Linked DNA regions of Coturnix japonica. The protein of the gene in region 2 purifies or fractionates together with the protein of the main gene of each other region. This does not show direct contact. Links are inferred from orthologs where the notes say so. Each region holds a gene or a part of one and is shown on either strand. Other genes may lie near its edges. The genes, in order: CILK1 and KIAA0556.

Region 1 (3,821 bases), on a different chromosome or scaffold from region 2:
GTGCTCTCATGACTTGTCTCCTTTCATTGGAACTGTATGTATGGAACAGACTACATAAACTGCCTATATAGGTCTAGGGATGCTTAGGATAGGTTCAGGCTATTTCCTCTTAAATCGATTATTCAGCAAAAAATAAAATAAATTAAATGCTATCTAGATATAAATACAGATATTTATTTCCACCAACATAAACAACCACCTTTACAGTTTCTAACACAAATATACATATTTCCCTTTCCACTTACCCAAACACAACATCAGCATGTGGCTTAGAATTGGAATGGTCATTGCTATGCATTAATATTGCTGCTATGGAAGCAGTTGTGTATAGTTTGCTGTTAGCACTTGTTCTTAACAAATGCCTGGCGTAGCTGGACATGGCAAGTCTTAGGCACATGCTTTCTTAATGCATAGACACTTCTGGTCCTTTTTGCCTTGTGGATTGAGTCAGTAAAAGCCAACAGTGACCAGAGCCCCTCTGGGTTCCCCATAGCACTGAGCCAGCAGCTTACTATGGGGAGGTGTTTCCTGAGTCCCGTGTGTCCTCATGGAACGAACCGAGAAGGCCGGGGTGTGTTACCAGCCTCCATCCCACAGCAGGTGCCCCTCACGGGGCATGCAGATCTCCCACTGAGGACATCACTGGCACACTTCTCTCCTTCTAAGCAGCCAGATGCCAAGAACCACAGCTGCTCCGATCCCTTCAGACACCTCATCACTACCAGACCAGCCCAATCCATTCATAAAATGAGTTTAGATGAGGTTTCCCCAAAGCTGAGCATTTCTGTACAGTTCTGTGGGACGATGTGTTTTCACAGCACGTTTCAGCTTTGAAGTTGCTCATCCAAAAATGCAGCTATAAAAGACGTTCTCCCACAGCACTGTAACCATCTCACCTACAGGACTCATCTTCTGTGGAAGGAGGTGAAGGAATAGCCAAACACTATGACCAAAATGAAGCATTTGCTGATAGCTGAACTCTGGTGCTGCTTTCCAGTGCAGAAACGACCTTCCTTTGCCTAGAACCCACTCATTCATTTTCTCCTTCAAACTGAATTGTTTTTAGCAGTCTGACGTAAGGCCTCATTCTCACCCAGTAGAGTCTGAGGGCCTAATTTACAGCAACTGATGTACTCTTCACATCACAAATGAAGACATATTGAAATGAAGAAGAATTGAAGCTTGAACATATCCAATTGCTCCAAATTTACTTTCCCCCCCCCCCAGAGTCATTAATACAGTTAAAAAAATTAAGTCAAATGCATAGATACTGTTTCCTTAAACTCTGCTGCTGGCATCTCGCTAATACTTTTAGCTTTGTAATTCTCAATACCGCCTTACATATGCATTTGGATCTTCTGTTCCCGACAACAGCAAAAACAGAACCTGATGTTTCTCCTTATCAGCCATTAGGAAACACTTAAGGAAATTTAAGAGAGGTAGGTCCACATTCTATTTCATAGAGAACAACACCAAGAGGTAACTTTGAAGCAGGACAAACAAGCAGTGTCAGGAAACCAATCTACTGATTATCCTTTACAAAACAAGATTACCCAGCTTTGGTAAAAGCAAAAGAAAGGAAAGCTGGACAGTGGACCAACAAGAGCCTTGTGAAATTCAAATAATAAATACAAGAAAGAAAAGCTTCCCACTGACTTGGGACTTCCAGCAGTCTCTCAGTGGCTGCAGAGGAGACGTTAGGCTGTTGCTCACTCATTCCTTTGGTGTCCAAAGCAAACGAGTGCACAACAGCAGCAGTGTGGCATCAAGACGCGGCATCGCCACAATTGAACAGTCTCACTTAGCACATAAGCTTTAGAAAACATCGTAACGAATGCGCCTTTCCTCACTCTTCTCTTCCAACACAATATTGCACCACTTTGCTTTTTTTTTCCTAAAAACTCGTTTTTATAAAAAATGTTGAATCCAATGAAGGAAAAGTTACAGTTTAAAAAAGTTTGTTATAAAAATGTATCGTATCAAAATGCCAAGATCTTTAAAGCCATATATACAAAAGGTATCAGATCTATGAAAATAATTGGACACAATTATATAACAAAAGTTCATACAAAAAAAAAAAAAAAAGGTACAAGATTGCATTGAAATTAATACAAATGAAAGTTAAAAAACAAAAGCAAAGTGACCTTCAGAAAGGTCTCGACCGTAGAAGATTTGCTTCTCTTAAATTTACAAGTCTATAGAACAGTAGAAAACTGTCACGTGTCTGTCACCATTTGGGAAATAGGCGCTGCTGGGAGAGCACTGCAGGTGTCACCGCTGAGCTCGGTACTTCGCAGACCAGTCAATGCGGCCATGGATCGGCTGAGCTGGGGGTGGGAGCTGCGTTACCCCGGGGGTGCTTTTAGAAGGTGAATTGAATGGTGGCCGTCCAAGATGGGGTTTCGCTGACGTCAGAGGAGCATAATCTAAGGGAGGAAAGGAGACTCCAAGAGGTTAAGGTTAATCAAGTGGCTGTCCATGCTGAAAGACAACTGGATGCAGATGTAGATCTTCACTTCTTCGGGAAACAAGCATCCTTTTTTAATAGGATTTGTTGATGTGAAGCAACATGTGTGATCCAAACCTTAAAACCCTTAAAATCTTAAAACAAGAAGCACCTAGAGTGCACCTTAGAGTCGTGAGGCCCTGCAACAGGCTGCCCAGGGAGGTTGTGGATGCCCCGTCCTTGGAGGTGTTTAAGACCAGGTTGGACGGGACCCTGGGCAACCTGATCTAGTAAATGTGTATGTTTTGGTGGCCCTGCCAGGCAGGGGGGTTGGAACTACATGATCCTTGAGGTCCCTTCCAACCCGGGTCATTCTGTTATTCTGTGATCACCTACACCATGGATTGGTAAGTGTGAATTCTGTGCCAGGTCTCGCATCAGACTCTATGTTCCATTCCAATGTCCTTATTGGTTAACAGCTGTGGTTAAAACACATAGTTCATAAACTAAATAAAACTAACTCTTTTATATACAAAGTTCTGCAAGGCTCCGAGCAGTAGTTCCAGTCACTCAAATAACTACAAATAAAGCACGGATCTATAACATAATGCTGCATATACACAGAATAACCAAAGTAACGAGCAAGGGACCAAGATGATGATGGTACCACGCTTACTTGAAGATGGATCTGCAATTGGTGCTAACTGAACTCTCTGCCCAGCACAGCCTGCTTCCTTCTTCATAAATGAAGGGATATAACCACCAGTTAGACCATTTGATCCTATAGGACCTGAAAGAAAATGCAAGGAACAGCTGTGGTCAGTGCAGTACATCTCCTGCACAGGTAACAAAGGTGCAAAGTGATGGGCCGCACTTGAGATGAAAGCTGATCAGGGACTGATAGAAACAAGAATTTTTCCAAAGATACCTGAAGTCCATGGATCCTCTGTATGCCTCTGTTTATTCCAATAAACTGGAATAGACTCATGTACCAAACCTGGCAACTCACTACCAAACTTGTCTCTACCATAAGAGAGAACAGCTTTGACTGACCTTTTGGATAACCTTTGTCCCTTTTGAAAGAAAACAGTTTTAAATAAAATCATCTAGTCATAATACAGCCGTACGCTAAAGAAGTCAGCATGGACAGACTGAGAGCACACATTCCTGTAACACTACAGAGCAGCAGAGCAGTGGAAAACACACTGTGGGAAATGATGGCAATGAGAAGGGGAAAACCTAATGACTTCCTATGAAGCTAACAAAAAAAATCAAATCAAATTAAATCAAAAAGTGGTAGAGGAGCCAGGAAGGAGCCTGGCTGTGTATATAAAGGTTCTCATGTAGTTTAGCTATTTACATTCAGCCATGCAGC
Region 2 (3,821 bases):
TTGAACACAGGAGGTGTTCAGGGCCAGTTTGGATGGGGCCCTGGGCAACCTGGTCTGTTATTAAATGTAGAGGTTGGTGACCATGCCTGCTGTGGGAGCAGTGGAGTTTGATGATCCTCAAGGTCCCTTCCAACCCAAGCCATTCTGTAATTCAATTACGTAAGGGATAAAAACCAACAGAGGACAAGTCTTGTCATTTTTTATGACAAAACAAATTCTCTCCCTGTTTGCATCCCACCTTCTAAGCACATCTGCACAAATCCGATTTTTAACTTAAAAGGGAACAATGGCCTGACCTGAAGGGAGTAGACTTTTTTAATTTCCTTGTTTATAAAGTTTTTAATTGCTTTTAAATGTGCTTATTGGAGATAAAAGATATACACACACTGCACATGCTGAGCATGTATTATTAACAAGAAACTGTGCTCGTATTAACAAATATAGTAAGATGGTAGGAAATATTGGCAAGGAAATCACATATCTTGTTTAGGAAGCTTTCAGAATGAAAATGGCTCAAATGGGCCTACAGCTGAGCACTTGACTGTGTAGACATATCACACGAGTGAGCTATCAGTTGCTCAGTGATCCCTGAAAGCAAGAGAAAGCTGTGGGGTGGTATCCAAGGAGCCAGATTTAAAAAACACCCACACCCTATGGAAGTAATACAAATCCAATTACAATTGAGATATCACTGTTTATTCTACAATTGTGTAAGAATTAACTATTATAATTCGTGTTCAAGGAAACCCTCTTTTCTCCTTATTGAAGAAACACTTGTTTTTCTTTCTTGCCATACCTTTTGAGGGCTTGTGGAAACTGACTGGCTTTGCAAATCTCTCTGCAAGGCTTCATTTTCAATTTGCATAGCTTTAACCACAGCTGAAACAGAGAGTTCAGAGTCCTTTTCACACTCATTCTTTCGAGCTGCTGAAAGTGGTCTTTCTGGTCGACTTAATGGTCCTGCCATGAAAAAGCACAAAGGAATAGCCATTTGTACAGACAAACAAGCATGGAATATTCAACAGCACACATCTGAAACATCCAATTCTGTTACTAGTACAGTGCTACACTAACTAAACAGTAACGAACTAAAGCAAGGTTAAACTGCTCCAATTTGTTTTTCCATCTACCCTAAATAACAGATGGAACTGCATCACAAAAGAAGCAAAACTGAAAAACGGCAAATGGGATTTTTATGCATTAAAAATGTAGTTGATTTTTTCAGACGTTTACTGGGAATGCTTTGCAACAGCTAATTGAAATAAAAGTACATATAATTTCAGCCCACCAACATTTTTCAATGTAACTGGAGTATTCAGCTATTCTGGGAAATCCCAAGATTCTTCTGGTAAAAATCAAGAGACTCAGACATTGATACTTGCAGCATAAGATAAATGACCTTATGAACTTGCACCCATCTTCCCAAACATGACAGAAAAACAGAAGCATCACAGCCTGGAAAAAAGTTTAAAGGAGAGGAGACTTAAAATCTAAAAGCATCAACTTTGGCCATGGGAAATTTCAGTTCCTTTCTTTCTACAGATGCATTGTGTTCAAAGCTTTCAACTAAGCATGAATTCCTGATCTTAAGACACACTTCTGCTAATGCTATAAAGAACAGAAATCCATCAGAGAAATGGAAAGGAGCAAATATAAGGACCAAAACGAGAGGAGGAAATCTTATGGTATAGAAGCAAAAAGAGAAGAAAGTTAACAAAGACACAGCACAGACTCAAGTGTGCAAGCTCTGGATTTTTTCCTCACAATCCTACTTAAGTCTGAATTCTTGAAGTGCTAAAAAAATAATAATAAAAGGTTAAAAAAAATATTATAATGACAGATGAAATTACACATGAATCAGATTGGAAAACAAAATCATTAACATCTTCTTTACTGACATATATTCATATTCCTTACTATGGCAAATTCTTTCCTGCCTGTCTGGCTGCAAGGACTCAGCAGAGAGCGGTCGATTGATTTTATTTTTTACCACAACTGGTCTGACAGGAATGTACATTTCAGCATTATCTTTTCTTTTGGCTGAAAGAACTCGCACTGGCTTCAATTCTGTAAGATAAGGAAACAGAAAAATCAACTTCAGAGATCATCAGAAGTAGCAAGACAGGAATTATTATTGTACCTTAAATGCTAACGTTTTGCCACTTTAATTATGCTGGCATAGGTAAAATGATAACCACCATCTTCCTTTCCTTTTACTGATGCAGTTCTATATTCTATTCATATGCATAGCCTCAACCAACTTAGCGATGAAATACATCACCATAAGGTAGGTCAGGTCATTAGACCAATGTATCTTAACAGGGGCAGGTATTTCCAAGCACTGCTGACCAGAAGAGCAAAAATAAGCAAGAAACCCTGAGTCACTCGTTAATGCAGTTGTGTCAAAATTATTCCTGAGGCATAGACTAAAAGGAAATGATCATTCAGTTCATAGAAGTACTTATCTGCTCTTACTTCTGGGGGTGAGGGGATAAGCCACGTACTCACGTTCTCACTGCCACCACATCCCTTACTCCCTTAATTACATGACAGATGAAGAAAGAAGCAGCTATAGTAAGCCTAACCTCACTATGATACAATGCCAGGGGAAAAGAAAAAGCTTAGCCTGATGTTGTTTCTCTGAGACAAGCCAAAGGAGTTTCAGAAGGAAAGCCAACCTGAGAAAAGGATGTCGGATAGCAGAAACGAAGAGAGATTACAGAGAAAATGAGTGAAGACAGGAGTTAGACACCAGCACAAGTTTTAGGTGGCATTGCTAAGGAGCTATTTTTCTGCTGCAGTAGAAAGCAAATATCTGTGCTAACAAGAACAAAGAACCATCAAGTGAAACAATCGGCGTTAACGAGGATGCAATAGAAGATATGAATTTCTGAGTGAGAAACTATGATTTTTAATCAGTGGAAAAGGTAGCTGAGAAGAACTGAAATACCATTGAGTAAAGCCAAACAGTACCCAGAAGTCATCCACAGAAGTGCTAGGTCTAGTGCTGTATAAGTTCAGGCTGGGTGACTGAGTCATTCACTGTGGTTTATGTGATTACACCAAAGCTGGACCTAAAGCCTGTCTACCACACAGTCAGCAGTGTTCTGCTTCTGCTTTCTGTATCAGAAGCAAGCACATTTATCTGTCAAAACCAGTTAAATCTCCCTGCATATTACTATCAATACAAAATAATACAGATACCAGTTGGATGGTGGTTATTTTTTCCCCATCTCAAACCTGAAAACTGAACACCTGGGGCCTATCAGAGGGGTTGAAACTTGTTACTAAATTCTTGAGGGAACAGCTAGCCCAGGAAGCTGGAGCCCCAGCTGAAAGCTGATGTAGCTGTCAACACTGAGAAGCTGTATGTGCCTACAACCTCAATTGTCTCCTAGCAAACAGCATAGCAAATCCCAGTGTACAGCTCCCTTGGGTATAACAGCATCCCTAATGGGTCAGAACAAATAACCAGCTATGGTAAGATCTTTTCTCTGACAGCAGTGAGCAGCAGAAGCACAGGGAAAATATGAAATATACAGCGTATTCTTCACGAGGCTGAAGTCTGCATTTAATTCAAACTAAAAATGAACTTGCTAGCTAGTACTTTGTAACATCTACTAATTAAGGCATTAATGTATTTGAACTTCTAAACATCCCATGGCAATAATTTTTTGTATTTATACATAAAGAAACCATAGGATGCCTATCCATGTATACAAACAATGTTGTACTCGTGAATTTAATTATATTCAGGCCTGACATAGACCCTGGGACTACAAGAAGGTTGTTTCTTGTAGCTTACTAAATTCCAAATGTAC

What was found.
Region 1: the proteins of KIAA0556 (region 2) and CILK1 purify together in Homo sapiens (affinity purification with mass spectrometry; 3 studies listed by BioGRID and IntAct, with this or other methods). This does not show direct contact. The link is inferred for Coturnix japonica from reciprocal best matches to the Homo sapiens genes KATNIP and CILK1.

Annotation. Positions count from the first base shown.
Region 1 is NC_029518.1:80,674,841-80,678,661, reverse strand, and holds part of CILK1 (serine/threonine-protein kinase ICK), read right to left. Parts: intron 3,237-3,821; coding exon 3,123-3,236; intron 2,427-3,122; coding exon 2,272-2,426; 3' UTR 1-2,271.
Region 2 is NC_029529.1:10,587,454-10,591,274, forward strand, and holds part of KIAA0556 (protein KIAA0556 homolog), read right to left. Parts: intron 2,068-3,821; coding exon 1,918-2,067; intron 961-1,917; coding exon 797-960; intron 1-796. UniProt on the Homo sapiens protein: May influence the stability of microtubules (MT), possibly through interaction with the MT-severing katanin complex.